Drosophila melanogaster: one gene and its partner. The protein of the gene in region 2 interacts with the protein of the main gene of each other region in a biochemical or structural test. Each region holds a gene or a part of one and is shown on either strand. Other genes may lie near its edges.

Region 1 (9,431 bases), on a different chromosome or scaffold from region 2:
GCCGGCGTGGCTCTCAAGCCGACACTCAGCCTCATGGAGGAGTTCGGCATTCGGGAGCTAAAAATGATGTAGTATAAGAGCTATTCCTTTGGCTTTAACTTTAATTTTTACTTTGGAACATCCTACTTTGCTTTGCATGCGGGAACACAACAAATTGTTTATAAAATATACGGTTCAGTATGTACACAATTGGAACTATCTTGGGCGCAGGCTCTCCGCCAGTTGGTCAGTCTAGTTGTAGTAGTTGCTGGAGTTCTTGGAGGCCTGTATGGGTCTCCGTCGCCGCGGCAGTTCGTTCTCCAGTATTCGCCAGCGTTCCGGTGGCCACACGATGGCCACTGCCCGCGCGGACATCAGGCCCAGGGCGACGGGTCCAAAGGTATTGCTGTCCATGGAGTGGCCTGTGTGATCGCCCTCCACCCAACAATGTCCTTCGGGTACGCGAACGATCTCGTGCTTGTAGCCCAGCGTGGACACGACGTCGCCCTGCAGCCCCACCACGCGCTTGATAATCTTCTGGGCGGGATCCTTGGGTGAAATGAGCGATATTATGTCGCCGCGCTCCACCTGACTGTTGTGGGTGCCCCAGCGCAGCAGGAACACATAGTCCTTTTCATCCGGCACGGGATTGAGAGCGGGCTGCATGGAGATGCCTGCAAAAAGTTGTGGATTAATTAGCGCACACTAACATGGAGCGAATAAACTCCGGACGACTCACCATCCACCCTGGCCACATAACCAACGCAGTCCAGGAAAGTGACGCCAAGTGGCAGAGCGTACAGCAAGGACTTGCCAAAGAACCGAAATGCCATGGATGAACTGGTTGGAGAGCGGAGCTATCGAGATGAATACATAACCACCAGCCTTTTGCCGAGTTCCTTGTGCGCTCCGGATCTTATGACATTCGCAGCGCAGCGCCGACACGGGTTTTGTTTATGCTAAATACAGGGTGCTTCAATAAAGGCGATGCAGAGGTTCTTGAGCAGATTACGTTTATTGAGGAAGGATATTTGCCAGCTATTGTACTTTAGTTACAGGTGTTTTTTTCCGTTTTGGGTTTATTGTAATTTTGACAGAAACAGGAATGTGACTGGGCAATCGTTCAGCAGCCCTCCAGCTCGCTGGGAATGGGTATCTCGTTCTGGATGGCGAACTGCAGCAGCGCCTTGTACTTGTTCTTCCAGTTGGACACCTCGCGGCGCACCTGCTCGTTGTCCTCGTGCATCTGCTCCAGTTCCGTCCACTCGTACGACTTCTTAGTCTCCAGCTCGTCCTTCTGTTCGATTCTCTTGATGCGGCAACTGGCTGCGTATCCGCGATTCTTTAAGGTTCTCCGGCGCTGCTTCATCCGAACGATCTCCTCGCGGTTCAGGCCACGCATCTTGAGGGTCCGATTAAGATCCCTTACCGAAATGCTCACCAAATCGTCATCGGTAATATCCGGAATTGGACATGGCGAAAGTGGTGCCTGAAAATCGCACTTCTATCAGGGTTTTCTTTCTTCTTCGCATATATCTACAAGGTACGTACCAGGGATGACTTTCTCTCGCGCTTTGCTTCCATTGTGGCCGATTGTATTTTATTTTTACGGAGACTTTTAGAATTTGCTAGATTTTTCTACCTTTTTTTTTTGCGTTGTTATTGTGTGTCTTCTTCTTCCTCTCTACCTGCTGGTTGCCATTCACAGGAAATGGATTGCATAGAGTTGGCAGATAGACAAAAAACGTCTGTGGTAAATAGCGGGTAATTTAAATATACTAAAGCTAACGTGATCCCTAGATTTTAGGCTTTGTAGCATAAGGTACTTAGTTATATTTTTAAATTATTTATATAAAGCAGATCCAGATTTTTGTTATAAATACAAGTTCGAAAATAACAAATTTATATTTTAATTATTATCAATTTTAATTAACTGTTAAGTTCCGTGCCTTCCAGGTGGCATCGCTGGCAAAGTTTAAGAAGCTGCCTAACACTAACAGCTTTACAGAAGTTTTTTCCCCGAACGACGCCAACTGTTAGCGGGAAATATTCCTTCATCCTGCAGATGCCAAGTCCTTATTGTTCGCCATGAACTCGCAGGTGATGTACCACAATGTGCCCACACCGCCGGGCAACGTATCTTTGGCGGCCGCTGCTCCCGACGGCGGTTTGCTGTACGCCGGCATTCGCTGCATCAACTACATATCCGCGCCGCCGGCAAACGGAGAGCAGCCCCAAGTGGTGACCATGTCGACGCGGATCAACATACTGGCCCTGGACGTTAGTCCCATGTGGGGCTTGGGCAACGGTGGGCCGACCAAGCCATTCGCCATTGTGGGCGACGATCTAAGCGTTCAGGTGTGGGACTGCGCATTGGGCGAAGCCGTCATCGGGCACAAGGCCCATCAGCACCAGCACGAGGCGCGGGATGTGCGCGTCGTGCACCACACTACCAACTCCGTGCTGATGAGCTACCTGGCCAATGGTAACATTCTATCCATGGACGCCAGTGATCTGGTCATCTATTGTGTGGCATCCAACACCTACTGCCGTCGCTCCACTTTCATCTCGCCCCGAAATCACCAACTCACTATGGTGCGCTGCTCGCCCTACAATGACAATTTGTTCGCTGTGGGAACGGCTATGGGTAATGTGCTGGTCTGCGATCTGCGCAAAATGAACATCGTCTACAAGTTCCACGGCCACAAAGCGCCCATATGCGGCTTAGCCTGGCGGGAGGTGCCTGCTGCCGAGGACGAAAAAACCAATAATCTGGCGTTAAGTGCTGAAGAGTGGCGAAGCCGCAATGGCGGCCAGGAGGAGAAACCCAAGACAAAGCCACCACCACTGACCAAATCGAAGGCAGCCGAATCCGACGACCCTTTCGACATATACAACTTTGATCATCTTGAGTACGAGTTCGGTGCACCTATAGCTGAACGCCGCCGCAAATCTTCAGAGGATTGTGGCGGCGAATTTGTGGGTCTAGAGAAGCCAGCTGGTGCCGCTGTCTTAGATTTCGTTGAGGCCTGCGAGAGTGTGAAAGCCGAACTCTTAGCCAGTCGCCAGGAGGATAAAACGCAGCACGTGGAGGTCACGCTGCATGACTGCGAGCCCACAAAGCCTACGGGTCCCTTAAGTGATGCCAGCACCATTAGCAACAAGAACGATGCCAGCGACTCGACCGAGGGCAGTCTGGAGGTCATCCAGTACAGCTCGTCCAGTGATGATGCCGTGATCGTCGATGGCGAGGCAGCAAAGCCCAAAAGAGAAGTATTGCATCACATCTACCACCAGGCCGAGGTACATGCTTCAGGAACACCGCAGACCAAGTCTGAGCCTCAGAGTAATCTCCAAGTTGTGCCGGCCATCAGCGCGGAGACCATCAGCTTGACATCCGTGAACAGCACCCACTTGGAAACTCTGCTCGTGTCCATTGACGGCGATGAGGTGATGATGATCTGGAATACCAATACGGGAGCGCATGCTGGCAAGAACTACAGCAAAAGCAAGACGGCGGGTAAGTGGAAAGAATCAAACCATTGAAAGCAAGCATTCAACTGGGATCTTTTCTTCAGGCAAGCTTAACAACGTCTACTGGCTGAACAACCATGTCATTGTTTCCCTGAGTCGCCATCAGTTATTCTTTTGGTCCGTGGAGTTCGAGCGCAAGATGCTACGCTACAAGATCAGCAAGGATAAATCACACAGCTGCCATTTGCAAGACATCGTGTCCTTTGCCTGTGACTCCAGCAAAGAGATGATATGGTTGTGCAGAAACAATCGCCAGATTGGAATGATGAATCCTAAAACTGGCCGGATGGCTGACTTTTACGGAACAGTGGCGTTTGGAGTGCGAGCGATGGCCGAGTGTCCAGATGATATGAACAAGTAAGCTAATAAGATAATATGCCATTCGCAAACGTTGCTAAACTGTTTTTCGTTTAGAATCGCTTTGGGTTGTTCGGATCGCCGTGTGGCCTTCTTCGATATATCGAAGCTCACCACCAGCTGCCTGCCCATCGACAGCGTTTATGTGTCCAGCAACGTCTACTGCCTGGCTTGGAGTCCAAACTGCTTGGAACTGGCCTTTGGCACCTTCGACGGAACGGTATGGCTTTGATTTCGTCTATTTTATTGGATATTGAACCTAAATATACAACTCAACAACAGGTGGGCATCCTGGATGTGGAGCGCATGAAAGTAAAGACACACTTACGGACGCCGCACAAAAAAGAAGTCTACTCGCTTGTGTGGCAGGACCACTTTATATACTTTATTGTGAATCGTGTTCTAGGTTTCTTTGATTTAAGAAAATCGAAAATCGGTGAGTATATGTTCTTAGCCGTTCTCTACTTATGTTGCCGACAGTTGTAGGTTTGATTCTGTGCGTTGCGCCTTCCGTAACTAATGTTGGTCTGCGCGTCGTTGGTCTGCTTCTTACGTATATTGGCCAAGTGGATTGTCTCCCGATGATAATCCCACGCATTCCATGTTACGTTTATCCAGTTTGCTGGCGTTAGGTCGTTGGTGACGACCATTTCGGTTTGACACTCAAAATCTGTCTGCTTTGGTGGCTCAACTACCAGATTCTGCAGTTCCTGCTCTATTAGCGCATCGTCCAATTTGAACAGCAGAGCCAGGTTCGCATTGTTGAAAACCACTTTTCTAAAGGCGGCTATGAAAGGCTCAAATCGCAGCTCCGCGAATCGAGCGTATCTTGGGTCCCGGAAACCAAATGTAATGTCCACATTGGAGCACAGCTTTCTGGTCACCTGGGCCGGCATAAGCAGGCCGTTGGTAATGGTCATGGCTAGAGAGCAAAACTCCTTTATATCTGCCTTGTTGAGCTTGCAAAAGTTGCCATCGGTCTGCAACTCCTTCACGGCATCCATGCGTTCCTCAAAGCTGCAGACCTTGGGCTTCTTTATCCGCTTATGAAGCGCCTGCAGCTCGGCAATCGTAGCCTTTGTCAGGGTCATCAAGTCGTCGACGACCAATGCCTCCACCTGCTCCCTCAGCTTGTTTAACTCAACAATGTGGTTCAGGTAGTTGTTCAGATTGCCCCACACCTGAGAGAGGTACACAAAGTGCGGCTGAAAGCGGGAAACGAAATTGGAGAAATTCTCATCTTTTAAATGAATACATCACTTACAAATATAAGCTCCGAATCAATAGCCGTGCGCATGGATAGGGTATCATCAATCTTGCAGATCACGCATTGATATCGCTTATGCTCCACTTCAATTAGGTACACTGTCTTCTGGTAATGTTCGTTCAGAGTCGTCAGACAGCGATGGAGCATAAAGTAGGTCGCCGCAAACTGGTTAAGCCGATCCAAATGTTCGAGGGGCACGCGGTAGGTCAAGGTCTCGTCCTTATGATCTATGTTTATGAGGTCATCCAGTGCCGCCTGGCAAGTGGACTGCATCTTGACCGCCCTTCCCATACTGGCTGCAAATGCGGCTTCCGTGTTCTTCTGGGCCATTTCCAGATCATCGACCACTAAGAAGTATACAGCAGATATGAAATATGAAATGGTTTGCCCTATATGCACATACCGCTTCTAACATTCTCCCGATCTCCATCGGGGCCATCGTTGTTATAGATCACAATGCCGCCCACGGTCGCCGACAAGCGTTGAAGATACTCTAGCCGATGGTACTTCTTCTTCAGGACATAATTCTGTAGGTCACTTCGACCGATGACGCTGTTGAGAGCCTGGGCAGTCAGCTTAAGCAGAACATGATTCTTGGGCGAGCCCAGACTGTAGCAGGCCACTATGAAGACCTGCATCTTTGCGAAGAGCTGGTCCAACTGCACTTTACTGCAAGTCTCGGGATACTGAAGGATATCCTTGATTAGCAGCTGCAGTTCGGTTTGGAACTTTTCCTCGTACTTCTTCTTGACGTATTCAAGGTCTATGGTTACTCCCTTTTTCATTACCCAAGCCATCTTCATGTTGGCCATAGTGCAATCTTTCGAATTGACATAGCTATCCACAATTGTATTCACGAAACCCTCAATGGCACAGGCGGTTGGCTTATTGAGGTCGTACTTCAGGAGACCTTTGCGCCGATCTCTTGCCAGCAAATGAACCATGTAGATGACAAACTCCTTGTCGACCCTGAGATCCAACTGTTTGAAGCGCTTCATAATACGATGACCAATGCTCACTAGAGTTTTGTGTCGCGGCATTTTGGTAAACAGAACAATTTAACCTATTTCGATGAAAGGAAATGTGTAATGTGGTTTGCTTGCTAAGTTTTTGATACGTGTGATATTTGTTGCCCTTGGCTACAGTTTAATCGATTTCATTTTCTTCAAGTAGCACAAATTACTCATGCCATCGAGCTTTTGTTATTCGAGACTTTTAGGCTTGTTTTAATTAATTGTTTCCCACAAATCATTAAAATGATCGCACAATTAGGTGCGGACCTAAAAGACAACAATGGACTTAAAACAAAGAGTTTTTCGTCATTCTGACTAGATTTAATTGTGTTTTAAGTTAATGGATGTATGTATTACTTAAAGGTAAAGCTAGTCAAAGATACATATAAAGTTAATTTAAAATATGCCATTATTATTTTCTTACAGAGCCCACAATTGTGAACTGCATTTCTCGACCCAGTTACCTCAGCATCCGCGATTCTTTCCTTTTTGTTGGCACCGATGATGGACTGCTGCAGATCCATGAGCGCGATTCGGGAATGGAGAAGTCGTGGTCTCCATTTATCCGCCAATCCGCTTTGTTTGCTCGTTATGTGACCGATATCGCCTGGTGCCCGCTGGACAGCAATAAGTTTGCAGTGTCGGGCAACGATAGGTCCGTGTACGTGATGGAGTTTCAGCCCACGGAGCGCAATTGGAAAACGCTTCACACATTTACGGCAAACACAGAGAAGGCGTCGATTACCTCGATGAGATGGAGTCATACCCAGAAGCACTTGCTGCTCACCTTTCATATCGAGGGAAAGGTGTGCCTGTGGAACTGCAATGCGCCAGAGAAGCCACCGCTAACCATCACCTACCACTGCCCCATGTGGTGTGGAATGTTTTTGCCCACCAACGAGAACATCATTATGTGCTCGGGAAAAGCTCTCTCCGTGGAGCTAATTGACATTAAGGACGCGCTGGAAGGCGATGAGAAAAGCATCTGTCCCAAGGTGGATGCTCTGTTAAATGTTAAGTGGGCTAGCAAATCCCTGACCCAGCCATACGCTCCAGTTCTCACAGCGGCTGAAAAGAAACGGCAGCGCCGGGATCAACGCAAAGCAGCGGCTAAGCTCGAAGTTGACGTAGCTAACAAGGATCAAAAGAAAATTCAGGAGTCAGTTACTGCAGTTATTGATAATCCAACCAACGATAAATGTACGCAAGAAACTCCTGTTGAAGAGATGTTGGAAGCGCTTAGCTTGGACAAGGAGCAAAATAATAGAAGTGCCAAAGAATGCCCAAAGTGTAAAGAGCAGTCACCTGACAGTTTCACAGTAAGTTATCCATGTGCTCTTGATTCGACTGAAACCCAATAACATATTTACCAACAGCATAGCCGCACCTGTCTTTACCTTACCCAGAAGGAGCTCAACAAAAGTGCCCTTGAGAAGCTGGCCATTGTTCTTACAGAAGACTCTGCCAAGATCGACAAGTCGGTGCTCATATCGAAGCTGTTCAGCTCAAAAGTGATGGCCAAGGAGCTCATTGCAACCGAGTGTAATTTCACTAACTGACTTATAGTATTTAAAATGCTAACGATAAATGTAATATTTCAGTGACCAATCTGAAGCACTCAAACACCAAAGACATAGCTCCACTTTGCCTGGCCATGTCCACGTTCAAATTACGCGAGGAGCTGGAGCAGCATATAGCCAACAAGACGCTTACCGAACGCCATGTTTCGCTGGCTCCCTCCGTTTCTTTTACGTAAGTTTCTACGTTTTTGTTGTAAATCGGTTTTGTCTTTAGTCTATATTTCTTGCAGACTTTGGCAGGACTGCTGTCGCGCTTATGCCAAGCAGATGGAGGAAAAAGGCTACATCATGCACGCAGCTACGTATCTTTTTAGTCAAGGAATGCAATCGGAAGCCATCAAACTGTTCCTGGCCAATGAATACTATAAGGAGGCCCTTGTACATGCGCGTATTTGCTTGCCAGCAACGGATCCCCTGATCAAGACCGTAATTAACAATTGGCTCGAGCATCTGGAGGGGACGGGTAACTTTGCAGCAGCAGCTCTGATGTAAGTGACTAAAACTAAACTATAGACAAATGTTTAAGCATCCTTTCTGAATCACTTAACAGCTGCGTTCTGGACAATGAGATGCTGCGTGGATACTCCTATCTAAGAAAATACCGCAACTGCACTCCGGAAATTGCCGATCTTATGGACCAAATCAAACGGATTGGCCAGCTGGGCGGCGTTCTAGATGGTTGTGCTCCCAATGAGCCGATCCACAATGGATCTACTGCCGAGCATTAAGCCTTAAATCAACATTTTTGTAAGCGTACTTTTAGCTGAAACTGGCTGTACTAGTGTAACTCATTTGAAATCCCCCGATACAATCATAAAGCTATTATCTATTAGTTAGGCATTTACAAATGTTTTCCATTAATTTGAATAGCCAGAAACTGTGTGGAATTGAAACCGATTTGAGTCGCCTTTGCTATACTTTTATTTTAATTTAATTTACCCTTAAGAAAAGATGAATACAAGATACATATATCAATGGCACAATAGCTAGTAAAACAAACACACACAAATTGAATTTCGAATAAACGAAAAAGCGAGAAAAAGAAACCGCAGCTCCAGTGGGCTTTAATTAGAACAAGCAGCTGTTCCGGCGGCCAGAAACCATCAGTTATCAGGCGTAAAAGCTGGCCCAAACAAAAGTATGACCGTTAGGCCCCATTTTCGTCTGGGCTTTGGCATCACATTATGCAAATGACCGGGTTCCCCAGCCCGCCGACAGCATCACTGCCGCCAGTTGGGAATTAAGTTTTAATTGTTGGAACAAGAGTCAGGGCGACTGAACTTGCTGCACAACAGCAGCAGCAGCGAAAACAAACGAAACCAACAGAAAAATGTAAATCAACAAAACGACACAGGCCAGAGCAAAACTCTAGAGCGCTAGAGCTGGCAAACAAAACTTCGGGCTGTTGTGCTCTTCAGTTGCCAAACAGCCGCCGTAGCCGACGCAGTGGTCGCAGAGTCGTTCGGCGAACCAAGTTCGTTTCCTCAGTCTTTCGAATTTCACTTTTAACCGTTTGCAAGCGCGCCAAGTTGAAGCGTACGCGTACCGTTAGCGCGGCACGTTACGAAGTGAGTGATCCACACACATATATCGACCATTCTCACGTCCGTCAACTCTGACTCTGACTTGACCTGGTGCTGGTGGCCAAACCGTTGTACAATTAAATAACAATCAAATTATAATTGCATGCAAGCACATTTC
Region 2 (7,847 bases):
TTTTTTTAAATTATTTGGACCAAGCATTCATATGGGAGCACACTTTTTATAATTAACTGACAGCTCTAACAAAGAAACCACACCCAGATGCATAGAAAAACAAGGGGAGTTTTCGATATATTGGAAAACTGTTCATGCTAATACAGTAAAATGTATTATCACAAGAAACCCAACCCGAGCAGACCAACTGCCCGGGCAGTCTTCGATGCAATTTTTTAGTGCCCAGCGCGGGGTTAAGACCGTGACAGTTCGCCGGCAGCCGCTCGTTGATATCGGGGGATTTGGACGGGTTTGGCAATGTCAATAGGGCAGCTTGGCCGCGAGACTCCGCCGACGAGCGGCCACGGGACACGCCAACACTCATTTGCATGCGAGGCAGCTGGCCACGAAGCGATTAAAGGGCCTCTGCCGGCTAATGTCAAAGGTCAACTGATATGCGTTCGCCGGTGCAGTTAGCGGAAATCAGTTTGTTTAACTATTAGCCGGTGCTAATGACCAAACTACATGCTCGACCAAGCGCTCAAGGATTACCAGCTTGGCGTTAGCCTCAGAAAACTTGTAAATACGGACACACACCTATATACGTATATACACACATATGTGGGGTTATTATTTTGAATATTAAATGGGACTTACCCCACTTATGGGTCGAGTGGAAACCACCCAAGCTGAAGCTGAATCTGATTGGGCATTATAAGGGCATTTTTGCCCAATCGTGAGACAACATTTTTCGGGACTGTGACACCTCACTGTTTTGTAAACAGCCTCTAAAGCGTTTAATAGCTATTGTCCCCTATAGTTACGAAAATATGATTCCTACATTTTGATTGATAACTGGGCTCAGAAAAGTACCCATATACTTAAACGTAACTAACTTTTAGAAATACGTACACAAAGACAACGTTCCAAAAATATTTAAACATTTTGAAACATTTTTCGCTTGCGATCGACCCTCACCCGGCGCTCTGCTTATTGATATATTACTAATCGCAGACTCGCATATGGTTTAATTTCCAATGCAAAAATGCTGCATTTGAAAGCATCTGTCACTTAAGCGAAACCTATTCATGAGGCATCGCGAATTTGCTTAGCCTACTTTAAACCACCAGTGTCATATTTTTTTGTTACAGAAAAAGAAGGAGCCGCAAATGGTAAATAAAACAGGCGTAATCCGTTTTAATAATTCCAATTTTAAAAAATTCACACAGCAACCACGATTCGAAATGAGAAACGTGGCTTGGCTTGTCTTGCACAAAAATGTATTTTCGTCGATATTTTCTGCCCGCGGTCTCACTTAATTAACCAATTAGCTAACCACATCCAAAGACATTTAAATGGAGAATACCCATATTATGCACGGCAAACATATGCCAATGTGGATCGTAGTCGATCCGAGTCAAGAATGTTTTCTTCATCTAAAAATGCGTGAAAATACAATATAACATATGGATTGAAGACTTAGCATTAGCATATATGCGCAATTTATCAATTTAAATATTACGCAATAAATAATGTAAATGCAGTGGCCGACCAAAGCTCAATATCTCTGACACTAATAAGTTGTATCTACCGAAAACTAAAGCTAAGCTTAAATGAGAGCTTTGGGGTCGTCTATTAATGTCTTTATAGGCGGCTATACACGACCAATTCCATTGTATGTCACTTGAACTTGCTTCAATATCTGATTGCCTCTGATTTCGCAACCACTCCGTAGTATACATATGTATGTACATTTATCTAGAATTCAGTAATAAAGGAGTGTTTCACAGTTTAGACTACAGACAAGTCAGTGCTATTGGGATGGACAACACCATTTAGATCAGAGCTTGTCCACCAGATACCCATCACACATACCCATTCATAGCAGTGTCAGCTTGATGGACATGGTTAGTGAAACACGAGTACTAATATGTTCTAAGGAACTCATTGCAAATCCAGTAATATTTATTAGGATGGAATTTATAAAATAACATTACAAACTAATTTAAGTTGTTTCGTTCAAAATATACACACATGTCTGACGATATATAAGAAATCGTTTATTATACCTGTTACAATTCATCCGATAAAATGTCTAACAGATATAAAATATATTCTTATTAAGCCGAGTCGATGCTCAACCTTTCTAGCTTTTATAGTTCCTGATATCTCGACGTTCATATGGACAGACGGACATGACCAGTTCGACTCCGCTATTTATCCTGATCAAGAATATATACTTAATATGGCCGGAAACGCTTCCTTCTGCCTATTACATACTTTTCAACGAATCTAGTAAACCCTATTACTCTACGAGTAACGGGTATAAAAACAATTAGCTTATGTATTAATAAGCGTGTTTCGTTTAGGATAAAACGATACGATATTACCAAACGTGGTGATTTAAATTTCCCGTGTGGAAAATCTAATCTGAGACAAAATATTCCAATTCTCTTATTTATGTGTGTTTATATTGTTTAATTTGTATTATGAGTAACAATATTTACATAATTAATACAACTGTTATTTAATTATAGAACAAATTGAAAACACTTCTTGAAGAATGTGGGTAATTAGTTATTTCCTAGAGGTCATCTAAAACTGTTATTATAAATTATCGACTACTTTGAAACAATTTGAACTAAGTATTATCATAGACTTAAACCACTAACAAAAGTTGATCGCTTTTATCAGTCTGGAATTAAATTATTTTACAAGTGGGCTCCATAATAGCAATCTACTATCGATAAAGTGCGAACGAATTCGAACTATTCTTTCCCGGTTAACGAATACAAAAAACTCGAATAGCGTCGGCGTATTTTCTCTGGATGAAAATTTTTTGTGAAACTTCCTATTTGATCTGACTTCGGACTATCAGGAAAAAGTAAAAAGGTTTATTGGTAAATGAGCGACAATTTAAAAAATAATGAAAATATAAAAGACCATTACGTCGTAAGACCACCGTTCCAAATTCACTAGTAACCCACCGTCGCTGCCTTGACGTATTTTGTCCCGCTATCAGATCTGTGTTCGTAAAGTGGCAGTGTGCAGCAACAGCTCGCAGAAAGGTGGCAACGCTCGCTAACAGACCGAGAGCTCCACTAACAAAACAAACATTTTGCTACTTCGTCGCAGGCGGGACTGTGTTGCGTCGTGTGATCGCTAGAGCGGTTGTGGAATCGGATTCGAGCGCAAAACACCGTTCATGCTGTGAGCGAAAAAGAGTGGTAGCGCCTACAGTGGCATATGTAGTTAAATCCGTGAATAAGTGAATAAGAATATATGTATGTACTTAATTCGAAAACCTTTTCGCCGTCAGCACAACGGGTGAACGAGAGAGCGGAAGTGGAGTTTTTTGTGGCGGGTCGTCTCGCTCGCACCGCAAAGGTCGTCCGTGGCTGCGTGTATGGGTGTGTGGAAGAGGCGTCGAGGTGAATGTGGATTTCTAACCACACCAGCATTGCAAAGACATTGATTGATATTTAAAGCTGCAGCAGCGAACCAAAGCAAATCCTAATTTCGGCAAAGTTTAAGAATAACGAGTGACTGGGGCGCGCGCAATAAGATAAAATTGAAGGTTATTCTGTGTGCGTGTGAGTGACCCGTTTACCAGTGTGTGTGTGCGAGCGTTCCATTGTAAACAAAAAAGCAAGTGTTGTGAGCGGAGAGAAGAAAGGGAAAGAGAGAAAGAGCGAACAGACTGGCGAGAGAAAAAAGAGATTGCGCACGAAGAAAGCAGCGCACAAAGCGAACGCTGAAAATGTCAATAAACTCTGCGAAAGGTGAGGAAAACGCAACAAGAGCGCCGCAGTCGTGTAAAATAAAACCCAAGACTCAAAGAAAGCAGTAGAAAGAGGCAAGTGCAAGAGCAGAACTTGTGCGTGTGAGTGCTGGTGTAGTGTGTGTGGGAGAGAAGAGTTCGAGTGTTTGTTCTGATTGGACAGAGTGTGCAGAAAAGTTTTTCTGGTTTCGATTCGCTTGCAACAGTTTCCGCGTTTTCAGCTCCAACAAGTTTCGTCGATTTTTCGCGTCTGCATTTTGTTTATTTTATTGTGAATTCGTTGACTTGCTTGCTCGCTCGTTAACCCATACAAGTGCGCCCGCCGCGACGCTGGATGAGTAATTTACCGTTATTAATTCACAGGTGAAAAATCCGATATTTGTCGTGCAATAATTTCCTCGATTGGCATCAAGTGGCTTCCAGTCGGGTACATATTGCACAAGAAATGTTATACGCATAATGTGCACGCAAATTAAACGAATTCTCTATGAAAATGTGACTAGAATGTGAGTCGAACAAAACGAGTAAAACGTGAAATCCCAACTGGCTTTTGGGTAACAAATCTTATCAACACAGCAACGGAAATACATTAAAATCTTGATAGACTGAGAAAGGGACAATTGGAATACTTTTAGTTATTTTTAAATGGTAAGATAATCTCCTTTCCTTAAAAACAAAATGTTCCCATAATTTTTTAGGTATTTTAAAATGGTAAGATGATCTCATTTCCTTAAAAACAAAATGTTCCCATAATTGATGTCCATGATGTCCATCCCATAACTTGATGTGATTTCAAAAGGAACATCGTGAAAACTGGGCGAATCGTATAAACCATATGCTTTCATTTCATTTGTATTTAAGGACAACAATATAGGGGCTGTAAAAATTACCATTTTTTAAGTGATTTAATATTCCTTTGTCCTTTAAATTTAAAGATCCAAGAGGCCCAATTCAAGCGCTATATTTTCTTATCCCCTTCCACAGAGTCAAAGTAGGCTTTTCGAATCCCTGAAATCAAAACAAAATTATTAACACATCGGGAAGTCAGTGTCGTCTGGCGGACTGTCTGGCCGGGCGACTCCCAATTCATAAGCAGTGAAATGTAACGGCGCCGTTGAGTACTTGAACTACTTTCATGTGGCAGAGGCTTTATGACCCGAACTTGGCTGGCTCATTACATTGACATTCAACTCTACCGAGCTCTGAAAGCGCAAAAAGGACGCCATAAAGGCTTTAATTAAACATGTGTTATGTTCGGTTCTAGAAAACTTAAAGCTTTCCGAATTGACTCTGTATAGATTCGCTTGTCTTTATTGTTCGATCATCGTTACACGTTATATTTTTCTCGGTGCAGCCGCCGGAAATTGTTTCGACAACGAAACAGAGACGGTCTCGATCAGGGAGAATAAGAGGGTGGGAAGGCACTGCATGTCTGAATAGTACGGCCAAGGCACGTTTTGAACTCTACCTCTACCACACATTTCTTGGGCCAAGTCTTTAGCTCTTTCTGCTTTCGCGTGGTGCTTGACCCAGAAAAATCGAAGAATCGCCAATTCTGCGGCTGACAACGCTGCTGATGAGGCTGCGGCTGGGCCAAGTCTTGTGCTTTCGAGGAGCCGCAGAAGGGGCTGTCTCATAAACCATTTTAAATGTCGGGCTCATTATTATTTTGACTGCGTCGCTTGCGGTTTTTGTGTCTATCAGCCGTTCTTACCGTGCCTTCTTACCGTTCAACTCTTCTCATTTCGTAAGCTGGGATTCAGTCTGTCCGAAGGTTGACCGCGAGTTTGGAAGTTGATTGGCTCCGGATTATACATTGCGGACGCTGGTTTATGTTCTTGAACTCCTTTTAAATGTGCGCGGCCTCAAAGGTTAATTTACAGCTTTCGGGGTCATAACTCTGGCTAAAGGCGGTCGATTCTGCCGTCGAGACGCGGTTACAAGAACTGGCAACTGATGTAGGGATTTGCCCATGCTTACAAACGCAATGAGTGGAAGAAGGCAATAAATTATCGGGCTTGAGTGGTAAGCCTGGTCTCCAATTCTGCAAAAAAAAATTTTGCTTCTGGTAACTCTTTTTGTGCATGCAGATATTTATATTAACCCGACCCATACGCCTTAATATCTGTAACTTGTAAAGTCTTTGAGATTTGCCCATTCGGTGATGTATTTCTCGTTCGTCAGTTGGCTGCCAGCTGTTAACCGGTTTTCGAATATGCCTTCGGGTGTTCCAACCGCCTTGATACCCACTTCGGCCATCCGTGCCTCTCCCTCGGCAGTGCACCACCCACTCTTGCAATACATAAGTTGATACATGCTGTTTCTCTCCCTGGCTTTGACTCTGGCTGCTAATTAGCAGTTAACAATTGCAGCATTGACCTCCTCACCACAATTCTTCTCCTATTCTAGCAGGCAAACTGCGAAAGTAGCGAGAACGGGTTTGCTTTGTTCCATTGTCTATGGTAAAAAATACAACTGAAAGATACAACATGGCAGCAGGTTTACCTTGTTGTAACCTCGCCAAGAACTCCGGGGAAAAAAAGCTTGAAAAAATATATGCATTCCACTCTTTCTAAACCGAAGAGAACAAGACAACACACAAATATAATTGCTTGTCGTTTTTACAATTTACAATTTTAATAATTATTTAGTAGTTATTCAATTAACTACCGGCAACAAGGTTCGGTTTGGAGTGCATGCATAGGTTTTTAACTATGTGATGTCTTGAGTGAAATGTGAATTGGTATTAAAAACCTACTAGAATTACTATTAAAACCTATTGGACGTCCCGAATTGGCCTTATTGAAGTTTCTTGATAATAAGCTACATAATGAAGTGGGGGTAGTGAGACGCGGGTGGCTGGATGCATTCGTTTTTACTTGCTGCTTTTAGACATTTGCTGCAGTTGCCTGTCGTTGCTGTTGCCTTTTCGTTGTTATTGTGCCATTTTGTTTGATTTTTGCAACTGGCAACTTTTTCGATTGCTGCAACTGTGCAGCCGTTGGTTCGCAAACCGTTGTGTGTATGCAGCCTTTGTCGTTTTTGGTTTGTCTATACATACATGTCTATATAAACATGATCACTTTGGCCGATTTCTTGTCTTAACTCGCCACTTTTCAGCAGGCGGTGGAAGGTGAAGCGGGGACAAGAAAAAAGAGGAGAAACATGTTGCCTAAATGTTGCTGCTGCTGCGGTTGCATTTGCAGCAACCCACTGTTGTTCATGATTGTGCAACTATTGGCAGCATTTTCGGACTGCTGTTGAACTTTTGTAGCCAACCGAAAAAGAATGTTACCTCGTTGATAAGTTTTAAATTGCTTATCAATCATATTAATCTATATTACCTGGAATTTGTGAGGCCTTGGATAAGAACATCAGGAAAATTGTATTAATAATCGCTTTTTTTTCGTAAACTGTGCATTGAAAATTTGCGTTTATCAAGCACGAATGGCACAAACAGAAATTCTGATTCTCAAATAAATTAATGTAACAAAAAGACTTTTCATCGAATCGAATATTATATACCCGTTACTCAGCTAAAAGGATTGCGAAAGAAATGGAATTACCACCTCGGCTCGTGACTCTCGAACGTCATTCACTCCTAAATCCTTAATTATATTATTTAATTCAAATATTTATGTATAGACATGCGCACTATGACTTAGATTTCATCCTATTCCAACAAAAAAGTGTAATTAAACATAAAAAAAGGGAATGCTATAGTCAAGTTCCATGACTATCATCAGATACCTGTTACTCTAGTGGAAATGCGGAAATGGAAATTGCACAATTTTTCTGGGTTATCGATAGATATTAGGGAATAAAATGAGAACAAATTGCGTGACCTTTGGTTAGGTGTAAGAAGGGGCGTGGTTCTAGTGTTTTGGTATACCGATAGAAATTGACAACTCAAACAATTAAACGAAGAAAATTCAAAACATTTTTCAAGTGTGGGCGTGACAGTTTGTGGGCGTGTAAACATTTTTGGTTGCAAATCGATAGAAATTTACAAGACTAATAAAAATATGAATGAATATTGTGCGGCTTGTGGGTGTTAGAGTGGGCGTGGCAATATTTGAAAACCAAC

What was found.
Region 1: the proteins of Hr39 (region 2) and rig form a complex in vitro, tested with the Drosophila melanogaster proteins (one study listed by BioGRID).

What each region holds. Positions count from the first base shown.
Region 1 is NT_033778.4:20,633,218-20,642,648, reverse strand, and holds rig (rigor mortis), read left to right. Parts: upstream 1-1,967; 5' UTR 1,968-2,067; coding exon 2,068-3,499; intron 3,500-3,557; coding exon 3,558-3,870; intron 3,871-3,927; coding exon 3,928-4,090; intron 4,091-4,152; coding exon 4,153-4,306; exon of another isoform or gene 4,307-4,331; coding exon of another isoform or gene 4,332-5,075; intron 5,076-5,134; coding exon of another isoform or gene 5,135-5,484; intron 5,485-5,540; coding exon of another isoform or gene 5,541-6,177; exon of another isoform or gene 6,178-6,257; intron 6,258-6,576; coding exon 6,577-7,469; intron 7,470-7,526; coding exon 7,527-7,692; intron 7,693-7,751; coding exon 7,752-7,902; intron 7,903-7,960; coding exon 7,961-8,218; intron 8,219-8,280; coding exon 8,281-8,458; 3' UTR 8,459-8,773; downstream 8,774-9,431. Other genes in the region: Tcs1 (Threonyl-carbamoyl synthesis 1), read left to right, coding at 1-72; CG11110 (uncharacterized protein), read right to left, coding at 232-653, 719-812; maf-S, read right to left, coding at 1,103-1,483, 1,531-1,563; CG13436 (uncharacterized protein), read right to left, coding at 4,332-5,075, 5,135-5,484, 5,541-6,177. UniProt on the Drosophila melanogaster protein: Component of the survival motor neuron (SMN) complex that catalyzes the assembly of small nuclear ribonucleoproteins (snRNPs), the building blocks of the spliceosome, and thereby plays an important role in the splicing of cellular pre-mRNAs.
Region 2 is NT_033779.5:21,234,158-21,242,004, forward strand, and holds the start of Hr39 (hormone receptor-like in 39), read left to right. Parts: upstream 1-3,092; 5' UTR 3,093-3,247; exon of another isoform or gene 3,248-3,263; intron 3,264-4,123; 5' UTR 4,124-4,408; intron 4,409-7,847.